Sus scrofa: one gene and its partners. The protein of the gene in region 1 binds, or shares a complex with, the protein of each later gene. Links are inferred from orthologs where the notes say so. Each region holds a gene or a part of one and is shown on either strand. Other genes may lie near its edges. The genes, in order: UBTF, RRN3, TAF1B, POLR2K, TAF1C, POLR1C and POLR1B.

The links.
Region 2: UBTF (region 1) and RRN3 share a complex: the UniProt entries of both Homo sapiens proteins name them as parts of the pol I pre-initiation complex. The link is inferred for Sus scrofa from reciprocal best matches to the Homo sapiens genes UBTF and RRN3.
Region 3: UBTF (region 1) and TAF1B share a complex: the UniProt entries of both Homo sapiens proteins name them as parts of the pol I pre-initiation complex. The link is inferred for Sus scrofa from reciprocal best matches to the Homo sapiens genes UBTF and TAF1B.
Region 4: UBTF (region 1) and POLR2K share a complex: the UniProt entries of both Homo sapiens proteins name them as parts of the pol I pre-initiation complex. The link is inferred for Sus scrofa from reciprocal best matches to the Homo sapiens genes UBTF and POLR2K.
Region 5: UBTF (region 1) and TAF1C share a complex: the UniProt entries of both Homo sapiens proteins name them as parts of the pol I pre-initiation complex. The link is inferred for Sus scrofa from reciprocal best matches to the Homo sapiens genes UBTF and TAF1C.
Region 6: UBTF (region 1) and POLR1C share a complex: the UniProt entries of both Homo sapiens proteins name them as parts of the pol I pre-initiation complex. The link is inferred for Sus scrofa from reciprocal best matches to the Homo sapiens genes UBTF and POLR1C.
Region 7: UBTF (region 1) and POLR1B share a complex: the UniProt entries of both Homo sapiens proteins name them as parts of the pol I pre-initiation complex. The link is inferred for Sus scrofa from reciprocal best matches to the Homo sapiens genes UBTF and POLR1B.

The regions. Positions count from the first base shown.
Region 1 is NC_010454.4:19,003,431-19,007,034, reverse strand, and holds the end of UBTF (nucleolar transcription factor 1), read right to left. Parts: intron 3,542-3,604; coding exon 3,470-3,541; intron 3,387-3,469; coding exon 3,243-3,386; intron 3,152-3,242; coding exon 3,026-3,151; 3' UTR 890-3,025; downstream 1-889. UniProt on the Homo sapiens protein: Recognizes the ribosomal RNA gene promoter and activates transcription mediated by RNA polymerase I (Pol I) through cooperative interactions with the transcription factor SL1/TIF-IB complex.
Region 2 is NC_010445.4:7,561,864-7,565,901, forward strand, and holds part of RRN3 (RNA polymerase I-specific transcription initiation factor RRN3), read right to left. Parts: intron 850-4,038; coding exon 760-849; intron 646-759; coding exon 516-645; intron 1-515. UniProt on the Homo sapiens protein: Required for efficient transcription initiation by RNA polymerase I (Pol I). Required for the formation of the competent pre-initiation complex (PIC).
Region 3 is NC_010445.4:126,530,495-126,534,532, forward strand, and holds part of TAF1B (TATA box-binding protein-associated factor RNA polymerase I subunit B), read right to left. Parts: intron 3,822-4,038; coding exon 3,599-3,821; intron 1-3,598. UniProt on the Homo sapiens protein: Component of RNA polymerase I core factor complex that acts as a GTF2B/TFIIB-like factor and plays a key role in multiple steps during transcription initiation such as pre-initiation complex (PIC) assembly and postpolymerase recruitment events in polymerase I (Pol I) transcription.
Region 4 is NC_010446.5:36,849,528-36,854,137, reverse strand, and holds POLR2K (DNA-directed RNA polymerases I, II, and III subunit RPABC4), read left to right. Parts: upstream 1-1,515; 5' UTR 1,516-1,656; intron 1,657-2,857; 5' UTR 2,858-2,865; coding exon 2,866-2,926; intron 2,927-3,236; coding exon 3,237-3,329; intron 3,330-4,221; coding exon 4,222-4,244; 3' UTR 4,245-4,409; downstream 4,410-4,610. UniProt on the Homo sapiens protein: DNA-dependent RNA polymerase catalyzes the transcription of DNA into RNA using the four ribonucleoside triphosphates as substrates.
Region 5 is NC_010448.4:4,447,039-4,451,852, forward strand, and holds the start of TAF1C (TATA box-binding protein-associated factor RNA polymerase I subunit C), read left to right. Parts: upstream 1-1,633; 5' UTR 1,634-1,868; intron 1,869-4,077; 5' UTR 4,078-4,078; coding exon 4,079-4,216; intron 4,217-4,402; exon of another isoform or gene 4,403-4,461; intron 4,462-4,488; exon of another isoform or gene 4,489-4,553; intron 4,554-4,814. UniProt on the Homo sapiens protein: Component of the transcription factor SL1/TIF-IB complex, which is involved in the assembly of the PIC (pre-initiation complex) during RNA polymerase I-dependent transcription.
Region 6 is NC_010449.5:38,509,956-38,514,548, reverse strand, and holds the start of POLR1C (DNA-directed RNA polymerases I and III subunit RPAC1), read right to left. Parts: upstream 3,029-4,593; 5' UTR 2,965-3,028; coding exon 2,881-2,964; exon of another isoform or gene 2,809-2,880; coding exon of another isoform or gene 2,776-2,808; intron 2,755-2,775; coding exon 2,683-2,754; intron 1-2,682. Other genes in the region: protein YIPF3, read left to right, coding at 3,261-3,341, 3,936-4,133, 4,325-4,431. UniProt on the Homo sapiens protein: DNA-dependent RNA polymerase catalyzes the transcription of DNA into RNA using the four ribonucleoside triphosphates as substrates.
Region 7 is NC_010445.4:43,953,582-43,957,619, forward strand, and holds part of POLR1B (DNA-directed RNA polymerase I subunit RPA2), read right to left. Parts: intron 1,927-4,038; coding exon 1,756-1,926; intron 1,166-1,755; coding exon 1,009-1,165; intron 116-1,008; coding exon 1-115. UniProt on the Homo sapiens protein: Catalytic core component of RNA polymerase I (Pol I), a DNA-dependent RNA polymerase which synthesizes ribosomal RNA precursors using the four ribonucleoside triphosphates as substrates.

The DNA of each region.
Region 1 (3,604 bases):
GGCCAAGAGTGAGAGAGGGCCGTGGGGCGAAGCGAGGGGTCTTAGGTGGGTCTAAGCCTGTGGTGGGTCTAAAGCCTGGGGCTTTAGCCCGTGGCATTCCAGGAACCCAGTCAGGGCCAGTGCAGGGACGGCTGTCTTCCTTACCCTCAGAGAGTGATTCATCTCGGCCCAGCCCACTTCCCATCAGAGGTCTGGGTGTTAGGAAACTCATTCCTAACCCTGAGTGAGCGAAGGGCTCAACTCCCAATGACAAGCCCATGCATGACGGGGATGAACCCCTGACCCTAATGGCTCATCATCTCCATTTTTTTCAAGGCAGTTGCACTCTGGGAGAAAATAATGTATTTGTTTTCCAAATATCCAGTCCTTAGTGGCCTGACAACCCAACGTGAACCAACTGAATCGAGAAAGTGCAAAAACAGTAGCACAAGGAGTTCCCGTCGTGGCGCAGTGGTTAATGAATCTGACTTGGAACCATGAGGTTGCGGGTTCGGTCCCTGCCCTTGCTCAGTGGGTTAAGGATCCGGCGGTGCCGTGAGCTGTGGTGTGAGTCACAGATGCAGCTAGGATTCCGAGTTGCTGTGGCTCTGGTGTAGGCTGGTGGCTACAGCTCCGATTCAACCCCTAGCCTGGGAACCTCCATATGCTGCAAGAGGGGCTCAAGAAAAGGCAAAAAGACAAAGCAAAACAAAACAAACAAAAAAACCCCCAGTAGCACAAAACAGTGCGAAGGTAGGTTGCCTATGGCATCTTCAGGAGAGAGGAAGATGGTTCTAGAAAGAAGAGGCCAAGAAGCTGGCTTCAAGGGGCTTTCCACATTGAGCCTGTTCGGTCACCTCTGCCACCACTCCCCCTTCATGGAGTCCAGTGATCAGACAGCACTCAAACCTTTGTTTTTTTACTTTATTGTACAAAAAAAGGGAAAACAAAACTTCCACAGTTGGCCTTAAGCTTAGGCGGACACCTCTAAGCCATTCCCTCCCACCTCCCATGTTACAAATTCAAGTTGTGGTTGTTGTTGAAACCTACAAAAACACTCCTTAAATATTAGAAAAAAGGGGGGGGAGCGGGGTCCTCCCACCCCAGCCATCCCATCCCAGTGCCAAAATGCACTCAGAGTGACCTCTCACAGCACCAACACCCTAACCCCCCACAGCCCTGTTTGTACTGTAAGAATTTTTCAACTTTCAAAACGGGGGGAAAGAAACAGTGCCCCGCTCGAAGTTGGTTTTAAGTGAAGACATGTTTCACTAAAACACAACAGCGCAGGAGCATTCAAACAGGGAAACAGGGTTCTCTGCAGGGGCTCTCCGGAAGAAATAGAACCTATGAACCCTTGTACCTAATTCCAGGATCAGGACAAAGGAAGGGGAGTGGGAGTGGGAAGTGTCCCTCCCTAGCTCCCCCCACTCCCAGCACCAAGTCCAAGGCAAAGCGGACCGCCTGCCTTTGGGAGCAGGACCCACCTTTCCCAGCCCGCCTCCTGGGCGGAGCTCCCACTCTTCCCCATCCCTTGGCTTTCATTCAGAGGGGAAGGTGGAAAAGCACAAAGCCCCGATTAGATAGGTCAACGATGTGATTGTTTAAAAAAAAAAAAGTCAAAATTTAATAAAAACAACCCCCCCAAATTTAAACCCAGAGACAAGGTGGCTTGGCTTATTAAGAGTTTAGGAATCGGGGTACCAAAATTGGGGGGATGGCTGGGAAGGGTTAGGACAGCTGCAAAAACAGCTTGTGCAGACCTCTTCCCCAGCCGTGGGTTTGGGGAGGTGGGCAGACCTGAGAAATCAAAGGAAATGGGGGTGGGGGAGCTGGAGGATGTGGCGGAAAGGCAGGAGCGACGTGTAAGTTACAAGCTTCCAACACATTTCTCGGAGCCCAGGGTGGCCGGGAGGCCTCTCAGATGAGCTGCAGAGGCCTTTCCCACCAAATCAAAGCTTTAAGGTTCTACCTGGTCTGTTCCCCTCTCCGCCATCCTGCTGGATATTGGAGACCAGCAGTAGCTCAGAGGGAAACCAGTATGAGAAGCATCAGAGGAGCTTCGGTCACCCCGCAAAACTGAATCCGAGATTCGGCAAAGCAGAAGATATGGAGAAAGGGGCCACCCAGCCTGTCCCCATCAGGATCAATGTCACCCCGGCCCGCACCAACACTTTCACCAGATTCACAGACTTGAGGTGGGCTCCTCCTCCTCTCTTACACACACAAATACACATGTGCCTTTGCACACATCCACAGGTGCACCCATGCTATGTACAGGCCACGCACACACACACGCACACACACGCATTTTTCCACACGCATCAAGACCGTTTTAAAAAAGTCCCAAACCTAACCCCTACCCCCTCCCTCTCCCAGAAATGACAACAGAGACGGCAGCCGAGATCGGTAGGAAACGTCTCGTTGACAGCTCAGAGCTTAAAAAAAAAAATATATACACATATATAAAAAACACTTCTGCCCCCTCCCCTCGTGAGTGGGTCCAGGCAGCTCCTTCCTGCAGGGGGCAGGGGAGAGGGCTGGGGGGCCGTGCCTATTTCCCCATAGGCACCCGCCCTCCTCTCCCATGTCCCCTGCCTCCAGTTCCAATGTAGGGGTCCAGGCTGCAGCCCCTCTGGAAACAAAGGGGCCTTCCCCAAGCTTCCACCCTCCCAGGGGTTGGGCTGCAGGTGTAGAGGGCCTCAGAGAACTCTTTGGGACCCACCCCCGATCCCACTCCCAGGTCCATTGTCCATGCCGGAACTGCGAGTGCAAAAGAGGGGTGGGCTGGGCCGGTCCAGTGGTGGCTCAGTCTGGTGGTTGCGCTCCCTGGAGGGCCCTCCAGGGCTGATGGCTCTAAGGCCGCAGAGTTCTAGCCTGGGCGCCTCCAGTGCCTCTCCCCACTGTATTTTGTTTTTTTTTTTAAAAAAAAAGAAAAAAGAAAAAGAAAGAAAGAAAGTGGGGGAGGCCAGGGGGCAGGGGACAGAACATGGGAGAGAAACAAAGGTGGTCAGTCGAGGAGGGGCGCCCCGCGTGGGGCTGAGCCTCAGTTGGAGTCAGAGTCCGAGGAGTCCCCCGAGGAGGACGAGCTGGAGCTGCTGCCCTCGGATTCGTTGTCCTCGTCCTCGTCGTCATCCTCGTCGTCGTCCTCGTCCTCATCCTCATCCTCGTTCTGGGAGGCAAGGGAAGTGCAGTCACCAGGGGGCCGTGCTGGCGGGACCCCGTCCCGCCCTCCCGCCCGCCCGCCTGCCCGCCCGCCCCACCTCATCCCCGTCCTCGCTCTCGTCCTCGCTGCTGGACTCGGAGGAGTCGCCGCCATCCTCGGAGGAGTCCCCGTTCTCGTCATCTTCCTCCTCCTCGTCCTCGTCCTCGTCCTCCTCATCCTCTTCATCGTCCTCCTCAGACTCCTGCGAGGGATGGAAGCCCATCAGGGGTCCCTGCCGCGCCCTGGACCCTGCACGGGGCCCTCCTCCTGGGAGGGGCTCCTTACCGACTTAGACTGCAGGGTAGTCCGGCTGGACTTGGGGTTCGGGCCTCGAAGCTTGGTCATGCTCTTACGTTTCTGCAGGAGAGGGACGGGGACACAGGCGAAGGGAGGGGCTGTAAGCTCCAGACCCTGCACCGA
Region 2 (4,038 bases), on another chromosome or scaffold:
TCACCATAGCAAATTACAACCCACAAAAATAACAGCAACGAATGAATCTAGATGCCTCCACAGAGGTCATTACAGGGAACAGACATGTATCAGAACTGCTGCTGATATGTAACCTGGAGTCTTCTGTGGTGGTACAATCTCCAAAATGTATGGGGAAGTGGCACTGTAACAGAGATATTTAAAAAATGAAAACTCAGAGTTCCTGCCATGGTGCAGCGGAAATGAATCAAACTAGGAACCATGAGGTTGTGGGTTCGATCCCTGACCTCGATCAGTGGGTTAAGGATCCAGCATTGCCGTGAGCTGTGGTGTAGGTCAAAGAGGCGTCTCGGATCTGGCACTGCTGTGGCTGTGGCGTAGGCCGGCAGCTACAGTTCAGATTAGACCCCTAGCCTGGGAAACTCCATATGCCATGGGTGTGGCCCTAAAAACACAAAAGACAAAAAAAAAAAAAAAAAAAAAAAGAAAGAAAGAAAGAAAAGAAATGTCAAAGCAAGCCAAGAGCAACCACTCACGAGGTACAAAATGAGAGGCGATCATGCTGAGACATGGTCTCAGGAAGACAGTCTGTGCAGATACAAGATTCCCAAGGAAAGCTAAATACTCTTCTACCACTGTCTGACTTCTGTTCAGCCACTTCAATCTCTAGAGGTGGGAGAGAGGAAAAAAGAACGGAAACATTTTACTGATACAATATATACTATTTTTAAAGTACTGAGTTACAAAAATAAGAGTCAATGAAATTAACAGTGAACTTACCAACAGAATATTAATAAGCTGCTCAAAGTCTTTTGTCAAGTACATGATGGAGGAACGGAACTCTAGCAGCCAGTTAATGATCTGGTCATCCTTAAGTTAAACAAAAAAAAGTACTTTCAAAATCACAGATCCTCTAAAACAACACAGAAGATGGTACCTATCTGGGGAATAATATTTAAATTAGGGGGGAAAAGTCACAAATTTGGACTGAAGTGAAAACTGGGATAAAAATTTCTTACTGTGGACTTCCTGTCCTGGTTCAGCGGTAACAAACCCAGCTAATATCCATGAGGACGCGGGTTCAATCCTTGGCCTCGCTCAGTGGGTTAAGGACCTGGTGTTGCCATGAGCTGCAGTATAGGTTGCAGACGAGACTCAGATCTGGAGTGGCTGTGGCTGTGGAGCAGACCGGCAGCTACAGCTCTGAGTTGACCCCTAACCTGGAAATGTCCATATATGCCAAAGAGAGTGTGGCCCTAAAAAGACAAAAAGAAATCCCACTAGTATCCATGAGGACAAGGGTTTGATCCCTGGCCTCCATCAGTGCCTTAAGCTGTGGTGTAGGGCACAGACACTCGGCTTGGATCCCAAGTTGCTGTGGTGTAGGCCAGCAGCTGTGGCTCCAATTCAACCCCTAAGCCTGGGAACTTCCATATGCCAAGGGTTTGGCCCCCCAAAAAACATCATTTTGGTCTCTTCTGTTTGCCCTAGGAAACACCTCAAATGTTGACACCTGGGACTTTTTTTAAATTGAAGAATTATAACAGATTCAAATATTCTAAGATCACAAGGTACCTCTACTTCCTCTATACTCATGCTGCCTTGCAAACATGCTGATCACACTCAGTCTAAGTTGATCAATAAATACAACTTTTTCTTAACCCAACCTGCAAATGAGTTTAAATGTATTAAGATGTGTTCTATATAAATGACAGCTCCACTACACCTTCACATATTTTTCAGACAATAAAACTGCCATCCATAATACATTAAGTGCGGGGGAAAACCTGCTAAATAAAAAAAATATATATCTAATAAAAATAGTTTTGTATTCATGCATATATAATTCACAAGAAAAAAATTAAAACCCCTAATTTTTGAAAGAAGATGGTTAATGCAGGTTAAAGTAGGAGAAAGAGACATAAAAAAACAAAAGCAATACCGTGCTGTACCTTCAACAAGAGACCATGAACAGTCTTGATCCTGCAGTTATAGGCTCTTAACAGCGCTGCACCTACAGCGACAGGCTACTCATAAGGAGCATCATTCAGGGAGAAGACGCCGAGTGCCAGCCATCAACACTGCACATATGGACCTCTTCCTAATCCCGACAATGCTGCACAGGGATTACTGTCATTCCCATTTTACAGGAATGAGGAAACAGGCTAAGAAAGATTAACAAGCAATTTGCCCAACCAAGCCAGTATAGAACTAGCTTCAGACTAAAAAAAAAAAAAGGAGTTCCCGTCGTGGCGCAGTGGTTAACGAATCCGACTAAGAACCATGAGGTTGCAGGTTTGATCCCTGCCCTTGCTCAGTGGGTTAACGATCCGGCATTGCCGTGAGCTGTGGTGTAGGTTGCAGACGCGGCTCGGATCCCGCATTGCTGTGGTTCTGGCATAGGCTGGCAGCTACAGCTCCAATTAGACCCCTAGCCTGGGAACCTCCATATGCCCAGGGAGCAGCCCAAGAAATGGCAAAAGGACAAAAAAAAAAAAAAAAGAACTAGCTTCAAACCCATTTGCCTAGACTAGTGCTCCAGCCACTCTCCCACAATGCCCTGCCCCGGGGGAAGGCGCTCCCCACCTTCACTCAACCAGTGAGAGCTTCCTATGCACTCTGTGACAAACCTCAATGACATGGATGGCCTGCTGATGAAATCCTAACTAACCTGGCAGTAAAAGAGTCACGACTCATTTGCACTGCAGTAATGTCACAATGTCCACAATCATTAAAGAAAACAAGGCCTGAAGCAGAAAAGACAAGCTAAGTTATGTGCAAATAAAAATAAGTTAGCTCTATCCGATCTCTTTTCCACTAAAACAAGCTTAGGTAAATTATAAGGACAACATTTAAACTGCACCTTTTTTTTTTTGCTTTTGCTTTTTTAGGGCCACACCTACAGCATATGAAAGTTCCCAGGCTAGGGGTCAAGTGGGAGCTTCAGCTGCCAGCCTACGCCACAGCTCACAGCAATGCCAGATCCTTAACCAGTGAATGAGGTCAAGGATCAAATCCTCATCCTAATGGATGCTAGTCAGGTTTGGAACACGCTGAGCCACAATGGAACTCCTGGCCCCCTTTTTAGGACCGAACCCTCGGCATATGGAAGTTCCCAGGCCAGGAGTCAAATCAGAGCTACAGCTGCCAGCCTACGCCACAGCCATAGCAACGTAGGGTCCAAGCCTCATCTGTGACCTACCCCACAGCTCATGGCAATGCTGGATCCTTAACCCACTGAGCGAGGCCAGGGATCATACCTGCATCCTCAAGGATCCTAGTCAGCTTCGTTAACCACTGAGCCACAAAGGGAACTCCCAGAACTGCTCCACTGTTTCAAGCAAACCAGTCAGAGACTTTGGTGCTTAAGTACTGAATTATTATTGGAAATAAATTACTTGCAACACTCTTCTGAACTAACATACACACAACTGATATGATTCTTGGTCTGTTAAAACCCCAAGGAGGAGACATGCTGACATAAAATACAGTAGAACACAAAGAATGCGGTCCTTGTTCCTGTGGAAGAAGGCACAGGTCAGAGAAGGTTCTAAAGAGGAAATGACAGGAGTTCCCTTCATGGCTCAGCAGTAATAAACCCAACTAGTATCTATGAGGTTTGATCCCTGACCTCACTCAGTGGGTTAAGGATCCGGCATTGCCATGAACTGTGGTGTAGGTTGCAGACATGGCTCGGATCCTGCATGGCTGGTGGCTGTGGCTACAGGATGGCAGCTGTACCTCTGATTCGACCCCTAGCCTGGGAACTTCCACATGCCATGGGTGTGGCCCTAAAAAGCAAAAAAAAAAAAGAGGAAGTAACACTTGCACTGTCTTTAAAAAGAGTCTTCATTCTCTGGGGTGCTATCCCTTACGAAGGTAAAAGCAAGTCTTCAGAAAACCAAAAGCAGCTCAGTTAGGCTGGTGTATACGGTAAGCAAGCCAGCCAGCCGAGAGAGAAGTCTAAGGAGCAAAGAGGAGCCGGACAACTCGCTGAAGTCCCTGTAAGCCAGACTGATCATCAGAAAGATCTGCCGGCAGCGTGGGGCAGGGACTGAA
Region 3 (4,038 bases), on another chromosome or scaffold:
TGGTTATCTTAGAGCACATTCAACATGTTCTTTTAAAGCGCTTATATTACATGGTGACAAGTTATCCACTTTTATAGTGGTAAGAAGAACAAACCCCACGAGTGCACACAATTTGGGACCATGCTCCACCCTCGAACTGGGACTCGGTCAGGCTTGCTTGGTTCTGGGCAGTGATCCCGTGTCTCTGAAGGGCCATCTGAATTCTTTGGTCTGCTTCTCTGCCAGTCCCTACACTGTCTGTCAAAGGAGTAGCACCACATTTGCTGTCAGGACGCTTATCAGCAGAGTAGCTCTCAGTCTCTCTCCTACTCAGTTCCTCTTGAAGAGGAAACTGGAAATCAGACAGCTCAGACACACAGACACACACACATACACACACACACACACACCCCTCTGGGCAGTGTGTGCGGGCTCCGAGTTAGGGGCTAAGGGGTATCCTGAGAAAAGCGTATAGTTTTAGTCATGGACTTGGTGACCTTTTTACTAAGATTGGCTAAACCCTTTTTTGCTCACCCTGTGGTTCTAGGCTGTAGTCTAAATAGACAAGGTGGCGGTCCCCGCTGTAGCACAATGGGTTAAGGAGCCGACAACAGCTCTGCAGCCACTCAGGCTGCTGCTGAGGCGCAGGTTTGATCCCCAGCCTGGTGCAGTGGGTTAAGGATCTGGCCCTGCTGCAGCTGTGCCGTAGGTGCAGTGGGTTAAGAATCTGGCCCAGCTGCAGCTCAGATTCGATCCCTGGCCCAGGAACTTCCACATGCTGCGGGTGTGGCCCAAATAAAAAATAAGTAGATTAAAAATAAATAGGCAAAGGTAACCGGACAGCTTGGGTGCTCAAAGTTACGGCATCGCTGGTGCCGTGCTCCGCCGTCAAATGCACGCAGGGAAAAACATCTCGACAATTTCACCTCTGACTCCATCAATGTCTCTTTATAACTAACCGTCTTCTATTACAGTATTAAACCCATGAAGAACATCTAAACTTTGGATCATGTAAAAAGCATGAAGGTGTCGCCCCCACCCCAACTCCTCCAGAACCAGCTCTGCAGGCAGAAGAGCAACAGCGCCTCAGGTCCCAACTTCCCGGTCCTATGGGGCGCGGTGGGGATGGGGACGGAGCCCGCCAGCCAGCATCATAGCTTTTCCCTTCCACTTGATGAAACCGTAAATCTTGAAGAAGCCACTGCACTGACCCCTCGAAGGACTGTATCGCCCTCAGATGCAGAGCTGACCCGGGGGTTGGGATTCTGGCCTTTCGCTGCTGCTGTTAAGACAGGGACACTCCTTAACCACTCCAGACTCCGCTAAACTTTTTTTAAGCAGTAAACTGTAATGCGGATGACTTCATTTCATTGTCTTCTATTGTGTTTTCTACACTGTACTCATCTTCGATTGATATTCAACTCCGGAAGTTAAATTCTAATAAACATCATTTTGTTAAATCACGGTGATCATTTACTGCGCATTTACTGTGTGACAGACACACCCAACTCGTTTAACTCTCCTAAAACCATACGAGGAAGCTTCTGTCTTCCATTCATTCACTCGACAAACACTTAGGAGTTTCTGTTGGGCTCAGTGGTGAACGAACCCAACTAGGACCCATAAGGACGCAGGTTTGATCCCTGGCCTTGCTCGGTGAGTTAAGGAACCAGTGTTGCCGGGAGCTGTGGTGCAGGTCATAGACGCAGCTTGGATCCTGTGTGGCTGTGGCTGTGCTGTAGGCCGGCAGCTGCAGCTCTGATTTGACCCCTTGCCTGGGAACCTCCATGTGCATCGGGGACAGCCCTAAAAAGACAAAAACCAACCAACCAACCGTAGTGAGCACCTACTATGTGCCAAGCCCTGTTCTGTGGGAAGGCAGATGAATACACGGAATAAATACATAATCACACAACACATTCCCTCGTGACGCGAGCTATAAGGAAAAAGAAAGAACAAGCAAGGGGGACAGAGAGTGATGAGGTGTGTGTGTGGGTGTGTGGGCGTGGGTGAGGGTGACGGCTGGTGATATTTCAGACATGATGGTTAAGAAAGGCCTCTCTGAAGAAGTGAAATCTGAGCAAAAACCTGCAAGTGAGCCCATGTAGAGACAGAGCAGAAGAGCGTTCCAGGCTGAAGGTATGACATGTGCCCAGACCCGCCATGGAGTGTGTCAGGCAAGTTCAGGAAGAGCCAGGAGGCTGGTGTGAACAGGGGTGGTGAGCAAGAGAAGAGGGGGGCAGGGGAGGTCAGAGAACAGAGGGGGTCTCCCGACTTCACTCTGAAATGAGACGGGAGCCGCCAGGGGTTTTGAGAAGAGGAGCCAGGTCAGCATCGCCCCTCGCTTCCCAATCAGGGCAGCAGAGCTGGGGAGCTGGAGCACAGCTTGCGCACCACCAGCAGGGCTGGGATGCGGGCAGCTGCATTCGCCAGCGCATCCCCTGCACGACTGTGGGGACCTGCCCTGGGGACGATGCCTGCGTCGATGTGTAAGGAGGTCGGTGTAAAGACCTAAGGTCTCAATGAGAAATGTCTTTATGATCTAAAACTTCATCCTGCTTTGCTGACGTATCATTGACACACAAGCTATGTAAGTTTAAGGCTATAACAGGATGATTTTTTTTTTTAAATCATTTTGGCTGCACCTGCAGCATGGGAAAGTTTCTGGGCCAGGGATTGAACCCACGCCACAGCAGTGACCTGAGCCACTGCAGTGACAACGCCAGATTTTAAGCTGCTGAGCTGCAAGGGAACGCCACAACAGGATGATTTGATAGTGTCTATACTGTGAAATGAGTACCACAACAATCAAAGGCAGTTAACACCTCCATCCCTAACACTCATAAACGAGGCTCAGTGTGTAATTCTGATGGTTTTGATTATAAGCTCACCATCTTCTAATCCCATCAAACAACCTACCTGGCTCTCATTACAGCCTGACTCCTTTAGAAGATATCCAGCCTATTTTTTTTAATTAGCAAAGAATACTACTTCACGCCAAACGAAAGATTTCGTCTTTTTTTTTAAATCCTGTCATTTCTTTCTTTTTCTTTTCTTTTTTTTTTTTTTTAGGGCACACCCGTGGCATATGGAGGTTCCCAGGCTAGGGGTCGAATCGGAGCTACAGCTGCTGGCCTACACCACAGCCACAGCAATGCTGGATCCCAGCCGCGTCTGTGACCTACACCACAGCTCGTGGTAATGCAGGATCCTTAACCCACTGATCGAGGCCAAGGCTTGAACCCATCATAGCCTCATGGATGCTAGTCAGATTTGTTTCCACTGAGCTAGATGGGTGCCCCCATCCCGTGCTTTTTTTTTTTTTGGTCTTTTTGCTATTTCTTGGGCCGTTCCCGCGGCATACGGAGGTTACCAGGCTAGGGGTCCAATCGGAGCTGTAGCCCCCGGCCTACACCACAGCTACAGCCACTCGGGATCTGAGCCGCGTCTGCGACCTACACTCCAGCTCACACTCCAGCTCACGGCAACGCCAGATCGTTAACCCATTGAGCAAGGGCAGGGACTGAACCCGCAACCTCATGGTTCCTAGTCGGATTCGTTAACCACTGCGCCACGATGGGCGCTCCTACTCCGGGATTTCTAAGAGCATCACACACACCTTCTACAGAATTTCTGGGTACTCAGCCAGTACAGGGAATTCTTGGTTGTCAGTGACTGGCCTTTCTGCTTCAGGACCCCCTGGAGGCTGTGTTCATGGAAACAGGTTCTATCACTGTCCTCTGCTGTCCAGTTGAACTGAAAACTTGAAGGGCTTCTTTTTTCAACACTGGGCGTGGAATCAATCAGTGTGCTAAATTGTTTTTGTAGACTCACCACCATTTCTGGAAGGAAGGGAAAAAAAGAAAAGGAATGAAATAAAAACTAATGTCAAATCACAAATAAAGACTGCAGATTACCTGACAGTAAGGTACCAGAGCTGGCGTCTTAGTTTTGACAAATGTACAGCAAATGAAAGGCAAGAGGGTAACACTGAGAGGAAACGGGAACTGGACGAGGGGCGCCCCGAAAGTCAACTTGGAAAGGTTTCAAACAGTAAAT
Region 4 (4,610 bases), on another chromosome or scaffold:
AAATGTTAGTTGTCATCACTGATAATAGCTTCCACTGACCATGCTCCACATGATGCTAAAATTACTGTTCCTACTCATAGGAACAAGAGTGTTGGATTGGGATCTAGCCCCAACATGAACTCTTGTTGAAATTCTGGATCTCCTTGCTACAACTTGTCTTTACTCTACCCCTCTGTAGGGTCCCAGGAGCCGTTTGTATTCTGCATGTGTTAATTCCTCCTGATCTCCATAGACTGCATTAAGTGCCAGCATCTTCTTGAAATCTCAAGCTTGAGAGTTGGAATCCAGGTCAGCTTGCAATGATTAAAGTTATACTTTTTGGATCACTCCATAATCTTTCTCTTATGATAACAATGGTTTTATCTAATACTTCTTGGAGCAAAGCTTATTTTGATTCTTCTTTTGGGTTACCTCTTCCCTTTGGCTGACAGGAGAGATATTTTTTAAGATGGTCAAAATACTTGTATGTTCTGTCTTAGCCTGTCTGTGGAGGAAGAAGCAGGACACTCCACTGTGTTTCCTGAAATTTTTACAACAGGGAGCTAAGAAGACTGGGAAGATTGAGTTAAATCTCTCAAGTTGGTCTGTGGAGGTGCCGGCAGTTGGAACTCCTCCTGGAAGTGTAATGCGAAGCTCAAAGTTCCCAAGTTTCCGTATGGAAGACCAGAGAGCAGTATTGCCTGCTTAATAAGAAACCAAAATAATGCATGTTGGGAAGAAAGAAACCTGCTTCTCCAATTAACTGTAATAGATAACGAATATGTATTTTCTAAATTGTAACAACTTCATTTTCTTCCTCTCATTCTGATATTAGTAAAATGCCTGCTATGAAAGAAGCAAACGAATGTAAATGTGTACATCCAACGATAATGTCTCACTAATAGTTTGATCTTTGAAAGGATTCCACTGAGCAGGTCGTTTTGTTCTTCTAGAGAATACATGGGACCAAAGGAGGGTCGGTAAACAGCCACCACTACCTAAATCCCTCAGCTTTAAGTGGCAGTAGTTGGATGTAGCTGCCTGCAAGTCCGCCTGTGCTTTAAAACGAGTAAAAGGAGAGGCTGAGAAGGATGACAGGTACCTAAGTGAGAAAGGGTCGAAAAGCAAACATTATGCAAAGGGCAGGAGGCGGCTGTTCCACTGCCGGCGGCACAGGTATTAAAACGATCTGAAATCCATAATCTGAAAACTGCTCTTCTACGTGGAAATCAGCGGTGAAACCGATACTTCCACGTTCTTTGGAGTAACGGTCAGCCCAGGGATTCCATGAGCACTTCACTTGGGTATCTAACGCTCTGACCTCTTGGAAAACTGTTACTTTCTGCGGCCTTCATTTGTCATAGAAACAAACCTCCTTCGACCTGAGAAACTGCTAAAATTCTTTGCCTCCCCGAAAAATGAAAATAGTTGGGAGCCAAATAAGAACCTCTACAGAGCGAATCAAACATACATAATTCCAATTTAACTGCCCGCGCTCAATCCGGGTTCTTCGGCCACTCCTTGGGCGGAAGGGGCGGAGACTACATCCTGCGTCATCTGCCAGTGCCGGAAGTGGGCTGACACACAGCGGCCTCAGGAATCTGTTAGGGAGCCTCGGGAAGTTTCTCCGTGTTCCGTGGGTAGGGGTTTGGCGGATTGGCGGTTTGGGATTGGAAGGTGAGTGTTTGGGCCAAAACTGGAAAGATACTAGGGGTTACAGGAGGTCCGGTGTGGGATTAGAGTCGAGAGAGGCTGGGGATGGAGTCGATGCTGTTAGCCCTTTGGCTTGTTTAGCTGTTGGGTTGTCTGCCTTTTCAGCTGTTAGGAGTTATTTCATTATTTTTCCCTTTTCTTCGGTTCGCATGTTTTCCTGTTGAGGGGTATAGTTTTTTGGCAATTTCTTGCTAAATTTTGGGAAAATTTCACTTGTGGGAGTTCCCCTTGTGGCGCAGCGGAACTGAATCAGATGAGTATCCTTGAGGATGCGGATTCCATCCCTGGCCTCGCTCTGTGGGTTAACGACCCAGCGTTGCCTTGAGCTGTGGTATAGATAGCAGACGGGGCTCGGATCCCGCGTTGCTGTGGCTGTCAGGCCTATTGGACCCCCTAGCCTGGAACTTCCACATGCCGCGGGTGGAAAAAAAAAAAAGAGAGAGAGAGAAAGAAAAAGAAAAATTGGAGTTCCCGTCGTGGCGCAGTGGTTAACGAATCCGACTAGGAACCATGAGGTTGCGGGTTCGGTCCCTGCCCTTGGCTCAGGGCAGGGTTAATGATCCGGCGTTGCCGTGAGCTGTGGTGTAGGCTGCAGACGCGGCTCGGATCCCACGTTGCTGTGGTTCTGGCGTAGGCCAGTGGCAACAGCTCCTATTCGACCCCTAGCCTGGGAACCTCCATATGCCGTGGGAGCGGCCCAAAGAAATAGCAAAAAGACAAAAAAAAAGAAAAAGAAAGAAAAAGAAAAATAGTACTTGTACTCGTGTTAAATGAAAACCAGAGCTTCGCAGTCAGATCTAAATTCCTCTGCCTTTTAACTACTGAATAATCCTGACCAAATTAACCTTCCCTAAATCTTAGTTTCTTGATCTGTTCATTAAGAGTAATTATTTAACCGCCTAGAATTGTTGTAGAGATTATAATGAAATAGCATGTGTAAATATGAAATCTGTAAAGTGTTTATGGAGTCCAGTTTGGGGGTAAATGCAAAATGCTTATTTGTGGGTTTGATTCATTCTTTAGAACCAGCGGTAGGATTTTTAAAAAGTACGGATTAGGAATTGGGAACTTTTTAGCTTTTTAGCTTTCCCTGAGAAAAATAAGGCATGATTGGATTTGTGAGGGGCCCCTTTAAGATGTTCAGTATTTGAATCTGTGATTTCAGGGATAACGATGGACACACAGAAGGACGTTCAACCCCCAAAACAGCAGCCAATGATATATATCTGTGGAGGTAAGAGTGGCACTTACATAAAATAAAAGTATTTTACCTCAGTTTTTTAAAAAGATAGTGCATTTATCTTTATTTTACTTGAGTCCTTCCTCTTTGAAGTTAGCGCTTTAGCAACTATTTTAAGATTTCATTTTCTCTCCTAGAAAAAGTGCGTTGCCCACCACTCTTTTCTTTCTTTTCCCTTAATATGTTGATAATGTTGAGATTTAGTATACATATTTTAGTGCTTTGGGGGAAAAGTATAATTAAGATAATTTGCTTGCCTCTTATTTCTCTTTTAGGCATTGAATAAATATGTTTTCTCTTTTAGAATGTCACACAGAAAATGAAATAAAATCAAGGGATCCCATCCGATGCAGAGAATGTGGGTACAGAATAATGTACAAGAAAAGAACTAAAAGATGTATCCTTTTAACTGTGTTTTCTAAATATGAGGTAGGAGGAAGTGGAGAATAATGCTTGGGTTGATAGTCAAAGACTAGCTGTTAAAAAATGGTAAAACTTGGATTACTTAGTGAAAAAATAAGCATGGAGTTGCCATCGTGGCTCAGCGGACACGAATCTGACTGGCATCCATAGGGACGCAGGTTTGATCCTTGGCCCTGCTCAGTGTGTTAAGGATCTGGCATTGCCATGAGCTATGGTGTAGGTCGAAGATGCTACTGGGATCCTGAGTTGCTGAGGCTGGTATGTATGTAGGCCGGCAGCTACAGCCCCCATTCGACTCCTAGCCTGGGACTTTCCATATGCTGCATGTGCGGCCCTAAAAAGGCAGGGGAAAAAAAAGCTTGATTAGCATTGTTATGGACCAATATGCCGGTACATAGGCATATACTAAATAATCTAAATACTAGTTAATTTTGGTTTTCATAAGTGTATCTTTCTTGGATTCTATATTTAAGTACTCATTCTTGAGCTTTAGTTCATGGACACACTAATTATACAGGGAGAAATAAAAATATTGAGACGTATATTACCTAGTGGAGAAAGTGAGGCTTACAAATTAGTAGAAAGTAAATTGTTATGTAGTAACTAACAGTATTTTTTAGATTGCTAAATTTTTACCTTTACCATCACTTAAGTATTTTTTGGTGTATTGGTCTTTTGTATCATGAAAAGGGGACTAATAATTAACTAGTTTATTTTTAGTTCATTTCTAATTATCATAGTAAATAGTGAATTTCATTCTTTTGTGTATTTTAAATTGATGTCACAAAGAGAAAGTGACTTGGAAGAGCTAAATTTTTAATGAAATCTTTAATTACTTTTCTTTTCCTTAACTCAGTTTAATACAGTGGTGGTTTTTGATGCTCGATGAAACGTGAAATTCAGAGGAATATCTTCATTTGGATTTGCTGTTGATGTTGTATAGCTTTTGATTTGTGTACTTTAAGAATACAGCTGTGTATCATGATTTCATTTTAAAAACCATATTGTATTTAGGGGTCTATTAATAGTTTAATATAAAGGTATTTTTGGTTCAGTTTCATGCTTCATAATTTAATTTCATCATATATGTAATCTGACACACAGTGAAAGTTAAAAATGTTTCCCCAAACCACACTTTAGTCAAAATCTAAAATCATTTGGGGGAGTTACTGCTGTAGCACAGCAGGTTAAGGATCTGATGTTGCCACAGCTGTGGCTTGGATTTGATTCCTGGGCCAGGAACTTCCATATACCT
Region 5 (4,814 bases), on another chromosome or scaffold:
TGCCAGCCTATGCCACAACCACAGAAGCGTGGAATCTGAGCCATGTCTGTGACCTACACCAACAGCTCAAGGCAATGCCAGGTTCTTTTTTTTTGTCTTTTTGCCCTTTCTAGGGCCACTCCTGTGGCACATGGAGGTTCCCAGTCTAGGGGTCTAGTCAGAGTTGTAGCTGCCAAGCCTACGCCAGAGCCACAGCAACGCGGGATCCTAGCCGCGTCTGCAACCTACACCACAGCTCACAGCAACGCCGGATCCTTAACCCAGTGAGCAAGGCCAGGAATGGAACTCACGTACTCATGGATACTAGTCAGGTTCCTTAACCACTGAGCCATGACGCGAACTCTTGGAAGTTGATTCTTTAAATGAATGGTTCTCAAAGTGCGATGCCTGGACCAGCAGCATCAACATCTCTGGAAACTCATTAGATATGCACATTCTTTTTTTTTTTTTTTGTCTTTTGTCTTTTTGTCTTTTGTTGTTGTTATTGTTGTTGTTGTTGTTGCTATTTCTTGGGCCGCTCCCGCGGCATATGGAGGTTCCCAGGCTAGGGGTTGAATCGGAGCTGTAGCCACCGGCCTACGCCAGAGGCACAGCAACGCGGGATCCGAGCCGCGTCTGCAACCTACACCACAGCTCACGGCAACGCCGGATCGTTAACCCACTGAGCAAGGGCAGGGACTGAACCCGCAACCTCATGGTTCCTAGTCGGATTCGTTAACCACTGCGCCACGACGGGAACTCCTAGATATGCACATTCTTAGATCACATCCCAGACCTACTGAACCAGGAAACCCTGGGGGTGGGGCCCAGCAAACAGTTATAACAGGCTCTCAGGGGATTCTGGCACACACTCAGATTTGAAAACTCCCGGCCTGGATAATGGTAATATTTATGATTGACCAGTAGTTCTTAAAGGGTGTTCTCCCTACAAGCAAAATCGGCATCACCTGGCAACTTAGGAATACAATTTATCAGGCCCCAGACTCACAGAACCAGAAATTCTGTTTTAACACACGCTCCAGGTGATGCCAATGCTAGCTAGACTTTGAGAAACAATGCCTAAAGCTGTATTTGCCTGACCACTGGGAAAGCCTCATGCGCTCCCATGGGTACCAGAACCTCTACTTGTAAAGCCTATTTCATAGTATATAAGGACAATTAGGATTCCTGCTGACTAATGAAGTGCCTGGCTGACAGTAGGTGCTCAGTGTTTGTTGAGTGAATTAATACAACAATCCTGAAAAATGGGAAGTTAGTTAAGCACAGGTGGGGTTCGCACGGCCATCAACCTGGACTTCACTATTGGAATTTTTTTTTTTTGTCTTTTTGTATTTTTCTAGGGCCGCACTCCTGGCATATAGAGGTTCCCAGGCTAGGGGTGCAGTCGGAGCTGAGGCCGCCAGCCTACGCTAGAGCCACAGCAATGCTGGATGTGAGCCGCATCTGTGACCACAGCTCAGGGAAATGCCGGATCCTTAACGCACTGAGCGAGGCCAGGGGTCAAACCCGTAACCCCCTGGTTCCTAGTGGGATTCCTTAACCACTGAGCCACCACGGGAGCTCCCACTATTGGATTTTGACGGGATTTTGTTTTTACTGCCCACAGGGCCGCCTCCACCCCCCATTCCCCCTCCGCCCGGGAGGTGGCGCTCTGGGGCGCCCATGAGGCCAGGCTGGGAGGCGGGACTTCCTGCCTTCGAGGAAGTACTTCTAGCCCAGCCCGGAAGTCAGAATATTCGCTGTTGTGGGAGGTCCCGTGGAGGGAGTTGAGCTTGGATTCAGTTTTCGGGCTCCCTCGTGGCGCGAGGGTCAGGCGAACGGCCCGCGGAGGTTCGTTTCTCAGGCGACCACGGCGAAGCCTAGGCCACGTAAGTGTGCACGCCGCCTGGCCGGCACTCAGCGGCAGGTCCCTCTGCTCAGGTCCGCGGGCTCCGAAGTGGTTTATTAGCAGCCGCTGGCTCCCGGAGTTGGGAGGATCCCGCCGCTGTAAAGCGTGGTAGCAACAACTGTCTGACACCCAGCGCTTGGTGCGAGATCTGTCTTGCTATTGTTGGGTTGAACTTCTGGAGCCTGGAGGTGGATGGGGAAGGCTTGGACGAGGGGATGTCTGAAGGGAAGGGCTGCCAGCATCCACTCTCCCATCCTCTGGCAGGCGCACCTTTTGCCGTGCCCGGCCTGGAATTAATGCCGGTGACTAACCCTGCATCCTTGGATGTCGAAAGGGGCTTGGAGAGCCCAGCCCGAGGGCGGGAAGTCGAGGCTGTCTTGTCTTGGGGCTTCTCTGAGATCATGGGCTCCACTAGCGCCCTCAGCCTATGTATTTGTAAGGCTGTTTGGTTTCTTTCTCCTCTCTTCCATTCGTTCTGGATTTGTTCCTTCAGCTTATAGATGTTGATTGTTACTATGTAGCAAATACCAAGGCACTGGGGATAAGGTCCCTTCCCCAGGGGGACTCTTAGAACAGTTTGGAATCACATAGCTTCATCCATAAGTCTCTAACCCCACACCGGAAGGCGTTCTTAGGAGGAAGGGTGCAGGGTGTTTGTTGTGGGCTAGGGTTGGGAGAACTGGGAGAAGTGTCCTGACTTGCAATCTGAAGGGTGAGTAGGATTTTTGTAGGTGGGTAGGAAGGGCAATGGGGCTCATTCTAAGCAGAGAGATAGCGATAAACGGTCCTGAAGTGAAAAGACACATTCCCGCCACTGCCCTCTCCTGTTACGGAAAAGAGAATGACAGCAGCAGCCAGACGCCAGGATCTCAAGAATGAATCAGATACTGTCTCTGCCTCTGGAGAGCAGTCTCGCAGAAGAGAGAAGACTACACAGAAACCACAAGTAGAATGAGGCCCAGAGAAACACATTCATTCATTTGACAAGTATTTACTTCACTTACTGTGCAGTGGACACTTCACGGGGTGCTGAGGGTACATGGATGTTGGAGGTTACAGAATAAACAGGCACAGTGCACCTGCTGTTGCTGGGGAAAGGGTTTTGCTTCCTGAAACTCTCATGCTGGTGTTTCCTTCTGGATGCACAGGAAAGCGAGTAGTGGTTCCGAACTTGGACTTTGAGTCTGGTGGAGGATCACGCTGTTGGCCTTGGGAAAGTCACTCTTTGCTGAGCCTCAGGGTCCTGAACTCTGTCTTAGAGGCAGAGGAAGAGTGAGACATGTAGTACCTTTGTCTGGCAGATGCTGGTGCTCAGTCAGTGAGCGCTGCTGTTATTTTTGTGGTTAATTAAAAAAGGGAAGAGGGGTTTGGTGTTCCAGTTGTGGCTCAGTGGGTTAAGAACCCAACTAGTATTCGTGAGGATGCAGGTTCAAACCCTGGTCTCGCTCAGTGGGTTAAGAATCTGGTGTTGCCATGAGCTGTGGTGTAGGTTGCAGACTCGACTCAGATCCCACGTTGTTCTGGCTGTGGTGTAGGCCGGCAGCTGTAGCTCCGATTCCACCCCTAGCCCAGCAACTTCCACTTGCTGCAGGTATAGCTGTAAGAAGAAATGGGAGGAAAGAAAAAGGAGGGATTATTTTTCTGCTTTTCTAGGACACTTTGTATTTACCAAAGGCCTTTGACGTAAATTTATTATTCAACACACAGTCAGCTACATTTTTTGGAAGGTACTTTACCTGTCAGTGGGAAGGCAGACAAATAAGATTCGTTGTCCCTGGCTTTGGGGACTTGAGTTTGTCTTGAGCGTGTCGTCTGAGGATGTATAATTAGGATATATGAAGGAGCGGGATGGAAGCTGACCCCTTGCCACCTGACTTGGTCCCGTCACCTACCTCCGGGTTCATTCCGTGGCTGCCTGGTTGTTCAGGGGGTGCCACATGCCTTCTGCCTCTGTGAAAACCACACCCTCCCCTCCCCTCCCTCCTGGCTGGCTGGTTGGTGTTCATGGAGCACTTATTACTGTCTGGCACTAGGCTGCATGTTTGTTCTTTGTTAGCTGCTTCCCCAAAGAAACTCTTCCCCCCTCGGGGCCCTTTTTGCCTTCCCTGCCTTCCCAGGAACACTGGCAGCTGCCGGCAGGTTCTGGTCTCTGAGCAAGGCCAGTGTGACGTGTGGCTCTCGTTTTCCAGGATGGACTTCCCCAGCCCGCTCCCGCCCTCTTTGTTTATGACCGGCCCCCTTGGTCTGAGCGGTGTCCCTGATGTGTCCTTCATGTGCAGCTGGAGAGACGCGCTGACGCTGCCGGAGCCCCAGCCCCGGGCCTCTGAGGTGAGGGTGGCGGGGGGGGGCCCGGGTGGTGCGCCTGGCCCCCCGCTCCTCGCACAGATCCGCGCCGGAATCCTCTCCTTTGGGGACCAGGGATGCTCTGCCGTCCACCGAGGGCTCCTGAGCGGGAGCTGTTGGCTTGCTTTCCTGCCTCCCTCTCCCTCTTCTTTCCTTCCTCTATCTGTCCAGCAAAGACTCACTGAACAGCCACTCCTGTGGGCCAGCTGCCTTCCGGCCTGGCATCCAGTGTAAGTCAGATGCTCTCCCTGCCCCAGGGGAACAGAGGGAGCTTGAGCCAGAGTAGACGAGTGAACAGGCCCAAGGATGAGATCACTACAGAGTAAGCGAAATCCAAAGGATGCCCATCCAGCCCAGTGGGCCGGGGGCGCAGGGGTGGGCAGACCTCCCGGAAGCCTAAGCCAAAGGGTTACACCAGGCAGAGGCCATGGGGCGGGGGGCGTGTTCCTTGGCAAGGCTTCCCTGAGATTGCCCCTCCAGAAGCCTCACTTGCTGGCTTCCTGGCGGGGAGCTGAGCTGTCTCAGGCCAGCCCCGCCTTGGGAGTGGGGCGGCCTGTAGGTGCCCTGAGTTAGTGACCACACA
Region 6 (4,593 bases), on another chromosome or scaffold:
CCAACACCTTCTATGGAGAGATTTACACCTAAATGGGGGAAATGATGGAAGAAAATTTTCACATATTCAAGTATGAAGAAATGATTCTGGCTTATACATTACTTAATTTGAAATCTAGGCTGACCCAAAACAGCCTATTTGTGGCCTATTAAATATATATTGTGGGAGTTCCCATTGTGGCACAGCAGAAACAAATCCGACTAGCATCCATGAGGATTTAGGTTTGATCCCTGGCCTCAATCAGTGGATCAGGGATCCGGCATTGCTATGAGCTGTGGTGTAGACTGCTCGGATCCCAAGTTGCTGTGGCGGAGGCAGGCAGCTGTAGCTCTGAGAACAGCTGTAGCCTGGGAACTTCCATATGCTGAGGGTGAGGCCCTAAAAAGCACATAGAGAGGGAGGAAGTACATCTGCTTTAACTATTAAGGAACAAAATACATTCAAAGAATAGTACAAATATGCATTATGATTATTATCCTCTGAATTATTCTCCTGCCAACTTCCCCTTGCTAAAAGCAAAATGGACTTGGTCTGTTTTTCATTGGTATGATCACTTGCTAAACATCTTTACGCCAGGTTTAGGTCTTGAAAATGTTGCAGCTCATATTGAAACTTTAACAAAATTTACACAGGAGACTTTGAATGAAAGTCATTTTTTTAAAAAATAAAAAAAAAAAAGAAGGTAATGCTATTTCTTTACTCAACGATGAAATGACGTCAATGAGAAAAGCTATTCTACAAATCAGGATGGCCTCAGACATTATCACAACCTCCCAGAAAGGAACCTGTGCCATCATTAAGGTGGACTATGCTGGATGCTATTTCTATTTTATTTTATTTTTTGTCTTTTTTGCTATTTCTTGGGCCGCTCTCGCAGCATATGGAGGTTCCCAGGCTAGGGGTCTAATAGGAGCTGTAACTGCCAGCCTACACCACAGCCACAGCAACGCGGGATCCAAGCCGCATCTGTGACCTACACCACAGCTCATGGCAATGCCGGATCCTTAACCCACTGAGCAAGGCCAGGGATGGAACCCGCAACCTCATGGTTCCTAGTCAGATTCGTTAACCACTGCGCCACGATGGGAACTCCTGGATGCTATTTCTTTACCCAATGTTGAAATGACTTTAATGAGAAAAGCCATTCTACAAATCAGGATAGCCTTAGACATTATTACAGCCTCCCAGGAAGGAAACTGTGCCATCATTAAGGTGGAATCTTGTGCTTTTATTCTTGATGAATCTGCTAATGTATTTCAAGTGCTAAAACACAAACACAGATTGAGACCTTCAGTTGCCTTCTTCCAGATTTGGGAGGGCTTTTGGAGGAATGAAGGAATGGATCCCCAAAATCTTGGCTACAATCTCTTTTAATTGCTTACTGCTGCGTTTCTCTTGATTTCTTTAATAGATTTATCATCTGATGCGGAAGATCAACAGAAGCCACAAGGTTAACACTAACAAGCAGCATTGGCTTATTATTTTCCCAACAGAGGAGGGACAGGTGTTATGCTCCTTCTCTAGACAGACCTATGACCCATCTCAGGAGGAAGCAGCTAATGATCGGTCTCTCCCTATTTGCTCATTTAAGCATAATGGAGTAAAACAGCTGGAGGAAGGAATGATGGGGATAGAGTAGGATAATCACATAGTTTAGAAGTCCCACTAGGGTTTAAAGACAAAAAGGAAATGTTAAGGGGGTTTGAAGACTGCTGTAAGCCAACAACCGACCACTTAAGAATCCAGTAACTTAGCAACAATCTACACCACCTTGAAGGAAGACCAGGTGTATCTAAGCACCAGAAACAAGCCACAAGTCCTGATAGTTAAAACCCAAGACAAGAGATATGGGGTTTCAATCTTGTTACATGAAGTCAGAGTTATTGGTCCTTGAAGACTGGCATTGCTGCATGTAGACAAGGTGAAAGAGGGAAAAAACTAGGTGAAAGGGGAAATTATTCTGCAACCTGAAACGAATTACCACATTTTCGCATATGTTACCGCTTCTGCTAATATACCTATGATTTAAACAGCCCATGACACTCCCCCTTAGACCATATAGGGTCAAAGGAGGAACTGATGATGCAAGCCTGGACCATCTTACCCAAGAATGAGAAATAAGGTGGTCTTCTCCCCGCCCCACTTTCACCTTGATTATAAAAATGTAGCCCTCTTTGTTCTCTGGGTCGCACTCCCTTGCCTGCTCATTAGTATTTCTGACAAGCGTCCTATGCTAATAAATTCACTTATTGTGTATCGGTTTGCCTCACGCTGAATTCTTTTTCCCACGAGACAAAACCTGAGGCTCAGGAAGTCCTGACGATAGCAGGTGAGCGGTATCAATTAAGACAGTGGGTTTGAGTCCCCTCCTACGTCAGGGACCATGGGTTCAAGTTCCAATGGGGGTTTTGGCTGAGTTCGAGTCCCACCCGAAAGGGAGTGCAGCTTCAATCTTTATTGCTGTTAATCGCCCTTACCACAACTCACTAGAGTCGTGTTACCTGTACTCTTTTCCAAAAAGACCGAACCATCTCGTTAGCTTGTAGAACAAAGCAGAAATTGTGCACATCGAGTGCCTAACACATCCAGAGCGAACCCCCAAGGCAGTTTCCGAGGAACAGGATGTTCAGAGTGCAAGATCCGATCCTCATACCCTCTCTGAACACCTCCAGCTCTACCCACCTTCTCGAAGCGGTCCTGGTCCCAGGCATCATCATAGCCCGAATAGTTACCGGGAAAATCGGTAGTATGAACCTAGAGCAAAGAGAAACGAACCTGTTCGCGAAGGAGCAGCGAGGCCAAATTCATCCCCACTCCGACTCTAACTCATCCCTGCTCCGCTCTGATTTCTCCTCCCGAGGTCAAGTCCACAAGACTTACATTGCGAACCCCGAACTCCCCTAGAACCACGCGGCTCCGCATTTCCTCCACAGCCTGAGCCGCCGCCATCTTCAACTCCACCATGTGACTAGAGTACCAAGCCTGCGCGTGCGTTCTAGTCTCCCTGCCCCGTCTCCGTGGCAACACACCACCTCCCGGAATCCTAAATATCGCGAGAATCTGCCCCGCCTCCGTCCACGTCCTCAGATACCGGAAGTCAGTTTTAACCAAACATCCGGTTTTCTCCTTTTTGCGTTCCGGCCGATCCCACCTTTCTTTCTAGTCCCTGGACCTGTCCATCCGTCAGGCCCTCATCTCTCCCACTCCTCCTCAGCGCGCGGGACTAGCGCGGGCTTCAGCGACGGGAGCCCTCGAGGGACATGGCAACTCCGGCGGCGCCGGCCGGCGGCGCCCGAAATGGGGCTGGCCCGGAATGGGGAGGATTCGATGAAAACATCCAGGTAAGCGCCCCACGGCTCCGGCTGCCAGCAGCCCCACGGCCTGCAGCTGTCCTGAAGTGTCATGGGGACTCTTCCTTCGAGCCTTGGAAGTCTGCTCCGTTTGCAGAACTTTTTGTCTTCTTTGGGTCTTCGTGCACGTGAAAGGCAGTGGAACTAGTGCGGACCTAAAAGGTCCACACTAGTACCTCTGAGCCCCCTTGCTCTTGCTTTCCGCACAACTTAGAAGGTCGGGCACGGCCAGGGGCGAGGGTGGGATGGGGGGTAGGCGGGATTCACTGGCCAAAACCACACTGTGCGCGCAGCCTTGTTTTGGGGTGGAAAACACAAAGGAAATGGGCACTTTTGCAGCCTTTTGTGGCTTTGGTAGGAAAAGGACACGTATGGAAGACAGGGAGTAGGTTTCCCAGGCTGGAAAAGAGAGCCAAACAAAGGTTCTGAGAGCAGTTGAGGGGAGGGGAGTGGCATGGTCTATGGTAATTCTAAGCCGTATCTCCAGCAGTGAAAGGACAAAGCTCCAAGCTCTCCGGTGAACAGAGAAGGACATAACGGATGGAGCAGAAAGGTCCTCCACTGTGGGATCCGTTGTCTTCACAGGGTGGGGGCTCAGCTGTGATTGACATGGAGAACATGGATGATACTTCAGGTTCCAGCTTCGAGGATATGGGTGAGCTGCATCAGCGCCTGCGTGAGGAAGAAGTGGATGCTGATGCAGCTGCCGCTGAAGAAGAGGATGGGGAGTTTCTGGGCATGAAGGGCTTTAAGGGACAGCTGAGCCGGCAGGTGGCTGATCAGGTAAGCAAGACTGGCTCTCTGACAGGTGGAAAAGTATCCTGAGGCCTCTGGTTCTGAGTTGGTATTAGTGAAGTTCACCCCAGCTTGTCCAGTTAGAACCATGTAGAGATCCAACAAGAAATAAGCAAAAGGGCCTTAAAGCCAAGAGTCTCACGATACCCTCCCACCCCACCCGGTCTTCCTTGCTTCAGATGTGGCAGGCGGGGAAGAGACAAGCCTCTAGGGCCTTCAGCTTGTACGCCAACATCGACATCCTGAGACCCTACTTTGATGTGGAGCCTGCACAGGTGCGAAGCAGGTGAGGATCCTCCTGACCGAAGCTGCCTTCCTGACATCTAGCCCTTCATCCACTCTACAAGCAGACTCCAAGCCCTTAGAATCCCCTCTTCATGATTCCAGTCACAGAACAGGGCTTGGCGAGAACACACCTTCCTCCTCTTCTCCATCTAGCAAACTTCTC
Region 7 (4,038 bases), on another chromosome or scaffold:
TAATAATCATACATGTACGGTCTCACTAGAGGGCTTTGTGGAGTCTGAAGCCGATACAGTTTATTATCTGATCGGTCTTTAAACGTGAGAAGAGGAAAGCCCATGGTTTGCTTACCTGCAAAGGGAAAAAATTAGCATTTTGTTTTTTCTCCCTTGATTATAAAGGTGACATATAAAATTGGAAACTAATTATTCATCACAGGGTAATGAATAAATCATGCCGGCTGTTTACTACAGACTAATAATACATAGCGTGAAAAAATGGAAGTAGACCCTCATGTAGCAACATAAGTTCAGTACAGAATGCCGTTGGATATGATACTATTTATGTACATACATCTTCTACATCCCAAACAATTCTAGACCTAGTTTATGGACATCTGGGTGGTGTAATAAATGCATAAAAAGGGGATGTAAAGCATATATACAAACTATGGGATAGTAACACTGCTGGGAGGAGAGGGGTGATTTTTTTTTTTTTTTTGTCTTTTGTCTTCTTAGGGTTGCACCCATGGCATATGGAGGTTCCCAAGCTAGGGGTCTAATCAGAACTACAGCTGCCGGCCTACACCACAGCCAGAGCCACGCCGGATCTGAGCCGCATCTTCGACCTCCACCACAGCTCATGACAAGGCTGGATCCTTAACCCACTGAGTGAGGCCAGGGATCGAACCTGAAACCTCATGGTTCCTAATCAGATTCGTTTCCGCTGCGCCACTACGGGAACTCCAAGAGAGGGGGTGATTTTAATAACTGTCCTTGGTTATGTTAAGTGGAACTCCTTGTTGTTAGGAATTACACATTGAATTATTTAAGGGTAAAGGAGTATTGTGTCTGCAGCTCATTTTCAAGTGGAAAACAGTGCAAATAAAGCATAATTATGGGAGTTCTTTGTATTATTCTTATAACTTGTGCCTCTTCTCTGAGTTCGAAGTTATTTCAAAGTTAGAAATTACAAGCCCTTTTCTTCTATACGTATGGCTATCAGCACCCTCTGGTCCACCTTACCCATCTGGCATTGGTACATGTTCCTCGGACTCTGGTTGTGGTCAGAGAACGGGATGAAGTTGGCGATCACACTCAGCAGGCTGTGAGGGAAGAGCTCCTGGTGGGTGGTAACTCCAGCCAAAACCTCATCCTCAAAGATGGCAACATTCATGAAGATCTGGGAAAAGAGGAAGGGTGAGGAAGCCAAGGCCCAAGATTCCTGTGACTGCTGACATGTATTAGCTCTCACTACCTCATTGAGATGGGGCCTCAGAGACTTGAAAGAAAACCTTCCCACCCAGCACATGAACACTGAAAGGATCCACTTAGAATACCACATGCCTGACACTTTTCATTCTAAGTCGACCCTGGTCTGGGAGTTCCGTGGTGGCTCCACAGGTTAAGGATCTGGCATTGTTACACTGTGATCTGGGTTTGATCGCTGGCCTGGGAACTTCCACATGCTGCAGGCATGGTGGCAAAAAACCAAAAAACCAAAAAAACGAAATCCAACCTGATCCATTTGTGAAGGGGGATGGGAAGGAGGGAAAATTATTTAGTAGCACAAAGTACACAGTTTTGTAACTACAGAGATATAAGCAAAGATTCTGCATCTAACGAAATATTTCAGTCTCACCACCCGAAGCAGAGGCAGAGCTGGCCACAAAGGAACAAGGCGGGGGGGGGGGGGGCAGGATGGGAAAGGCAGGCCATGGGCCCACCAGCCCTCTCTCAGGTTTGATGAGCATGAAAACTGCTTCAATGTACCTGTTCCATAGTTCCAATTAGTTCTTCTCTGCCTAATCCCAGGTTCTGCACAGGCCGCACCAGTCTGCAAGGCGTGGTGAAAAGGTACAATCCTGGGTACAGACTTGGTTTTCCTGTCATGGGGATCAGGACCACCTCCATCCAGGGAGGAATTCTTTTTTCTCTCAACACCTGGTTTCAACAACAAGCGAGTTCAGTGAATAAGTGACGTGTTTTACAGCCATCCCTCTGCCACCTGGGAGGCTGGTACAATGCAGGAGATGAAACATGAACAACTTGTCATAAGAAGTGAACTCAGTTACGCAGTTAGCAGACTTAGTGCCCCTTCAGTCTCAACCCCACACAGGTGGCCAGTCACCCCATAACCAGAGTTGGAAGAAACCCTCCTCCTTGGGGGCTCGGTCCCACTCTCAGGCAAACTGGTAATGACAGAGACTGGGGCAAAGGTAAACAAGAATGTGTGTATCGATACACTAAATGAAATGTTGTTCTCTGATGTCTAAAATAGAGTAGATTACCGGTTGTATTTTTAAATGTATTCAATGAAAAGGCCCTTCCATCTGGGATTTAAAAACAAACAAAAATACAAATGATGAACGGAGAAATACAAACTAAAATTACAGAAATGTGAAAAATAATGAAACTTGTATTGCAATTCACAGTTAAACTCCCCATCAATAAAATCAAAGAATGGGAGTTCCAATTGTGGCTCAGTGGTAAGGAATTCCTAAGGATGCGGGTTCAATCTCTGACCTCGCTCAGTGGGTTAAAGGATCCAGCGTTGCGGTGAGCTGTGGTGTAGGTTGCAGACATAGCTCAGATCCCATGTTGCTATGGCTGTGGTGTAGGCTGGCAGCTACAGCTCTGATTCAACCTCTAGCCTGGGAACTTCCATATGCCACAGGTGCAGCCCCAGAAAAAGCAAATAAAATAAATAAAGAATGAAAATAAATAAGTTAAACTCCAAGCTCAAAAGCCAAAAATAAAAATAAAAGAACAAAATAACCCCAAAAAAGTACAAGTAAAGAAATCATATTAGGAGTTCTCTTGTGGCTTGGGGGTTAAGGATCTGGAGCTGTGACTGCAGTGGCTTGGGTTGCTGCTGTGGCAAAGGTTTGAGCCCTGGTCAGAAAATTCTGCATGCTGCAGGTGCAGCCGCAAAAAACCAACAAAAACAACACTAAAGATAAAACCTGAAATTAATGAGACAGAGTAGAGAAGAAGGTTCAAATTAATAAATCAAAATTCTCAGTTTTTAAAGGAACTATCCCCAAAGAGAGCACTAGAAGCAGATGGTTACACAGGGGAACTCTAGCAGATCTAAGACTAGATAACCTAATGCTTCCTAAGCTCTTCCAGAGCACTGAAAACTAAGAAAACGTTCTAATTCTTTTTATAAAGCAGAGACTTGTGAATGTCAATTTTTATTTTTGGCTGCCCTGCGGCATATGGATTCCTGGGCCAGGGACTGAATCCAAGCTGCAGCTGTGGCAACGCCAGATCCTTAACCCCACTGCACTGGGATCGAACCAGCACCTCTGCAGCGACCCAAGCCACTGTGGTTACATTCTTAAACCCCCATGGCACAGCGGGAACTCCCTCCTCTACCTGACTTTTATTTATTTATTTTAAAAAAAAATTTTTTTTTTTTGTCTTTTTGCTATTTCTTGGGCCGCTCCCGCGGCATATGGAGGTACCCAGGCTAGGGGTCTAATCGGAGCTGTAGCCACTGGCCTACACCAGAGCTACAGCAACGCGGGATCCGAACCACGTCTGCAACCTATACCACAGCTCACGGCAATGCCGGATCCTTAACCCACTGAGCAAGGGCAGGGACCGAACCCACAACCTCATGGTTCCTAGTCGGATTCGTTAACCACTGCACCATGACAGGAACTCCTTTTTTTTTTTAATATATTTTCAAATCCCAGTAGGCAACAGGATGACTTGTATCTGGCATATCTTTAATATTACTTGAAATATAAAGTCTGTATTTTAGGGTCCCCTATACGCCACTAATATTTACAAAGAAAAAGAAAGTTAAAAATGTGTTAGTGAGTGGACCAGAGCCCTCAATAAAACCACCACCACAGAAAAAAGGGGGTAGTACAGGTTAAATACCTGTCACTAACCCCAACCAATGAGGTGAGTATAAGGTAAGATGCTGGCTGCCACCAGAGAGAATGTAAAAGGCACTTTTGGGATCAGCTTCTGGCCTCTAGAGCCCTTGACCCTGGAGAAGGCCCTGGGGCTTCCTTGACAACAAGAAAAAGACCAAACAGC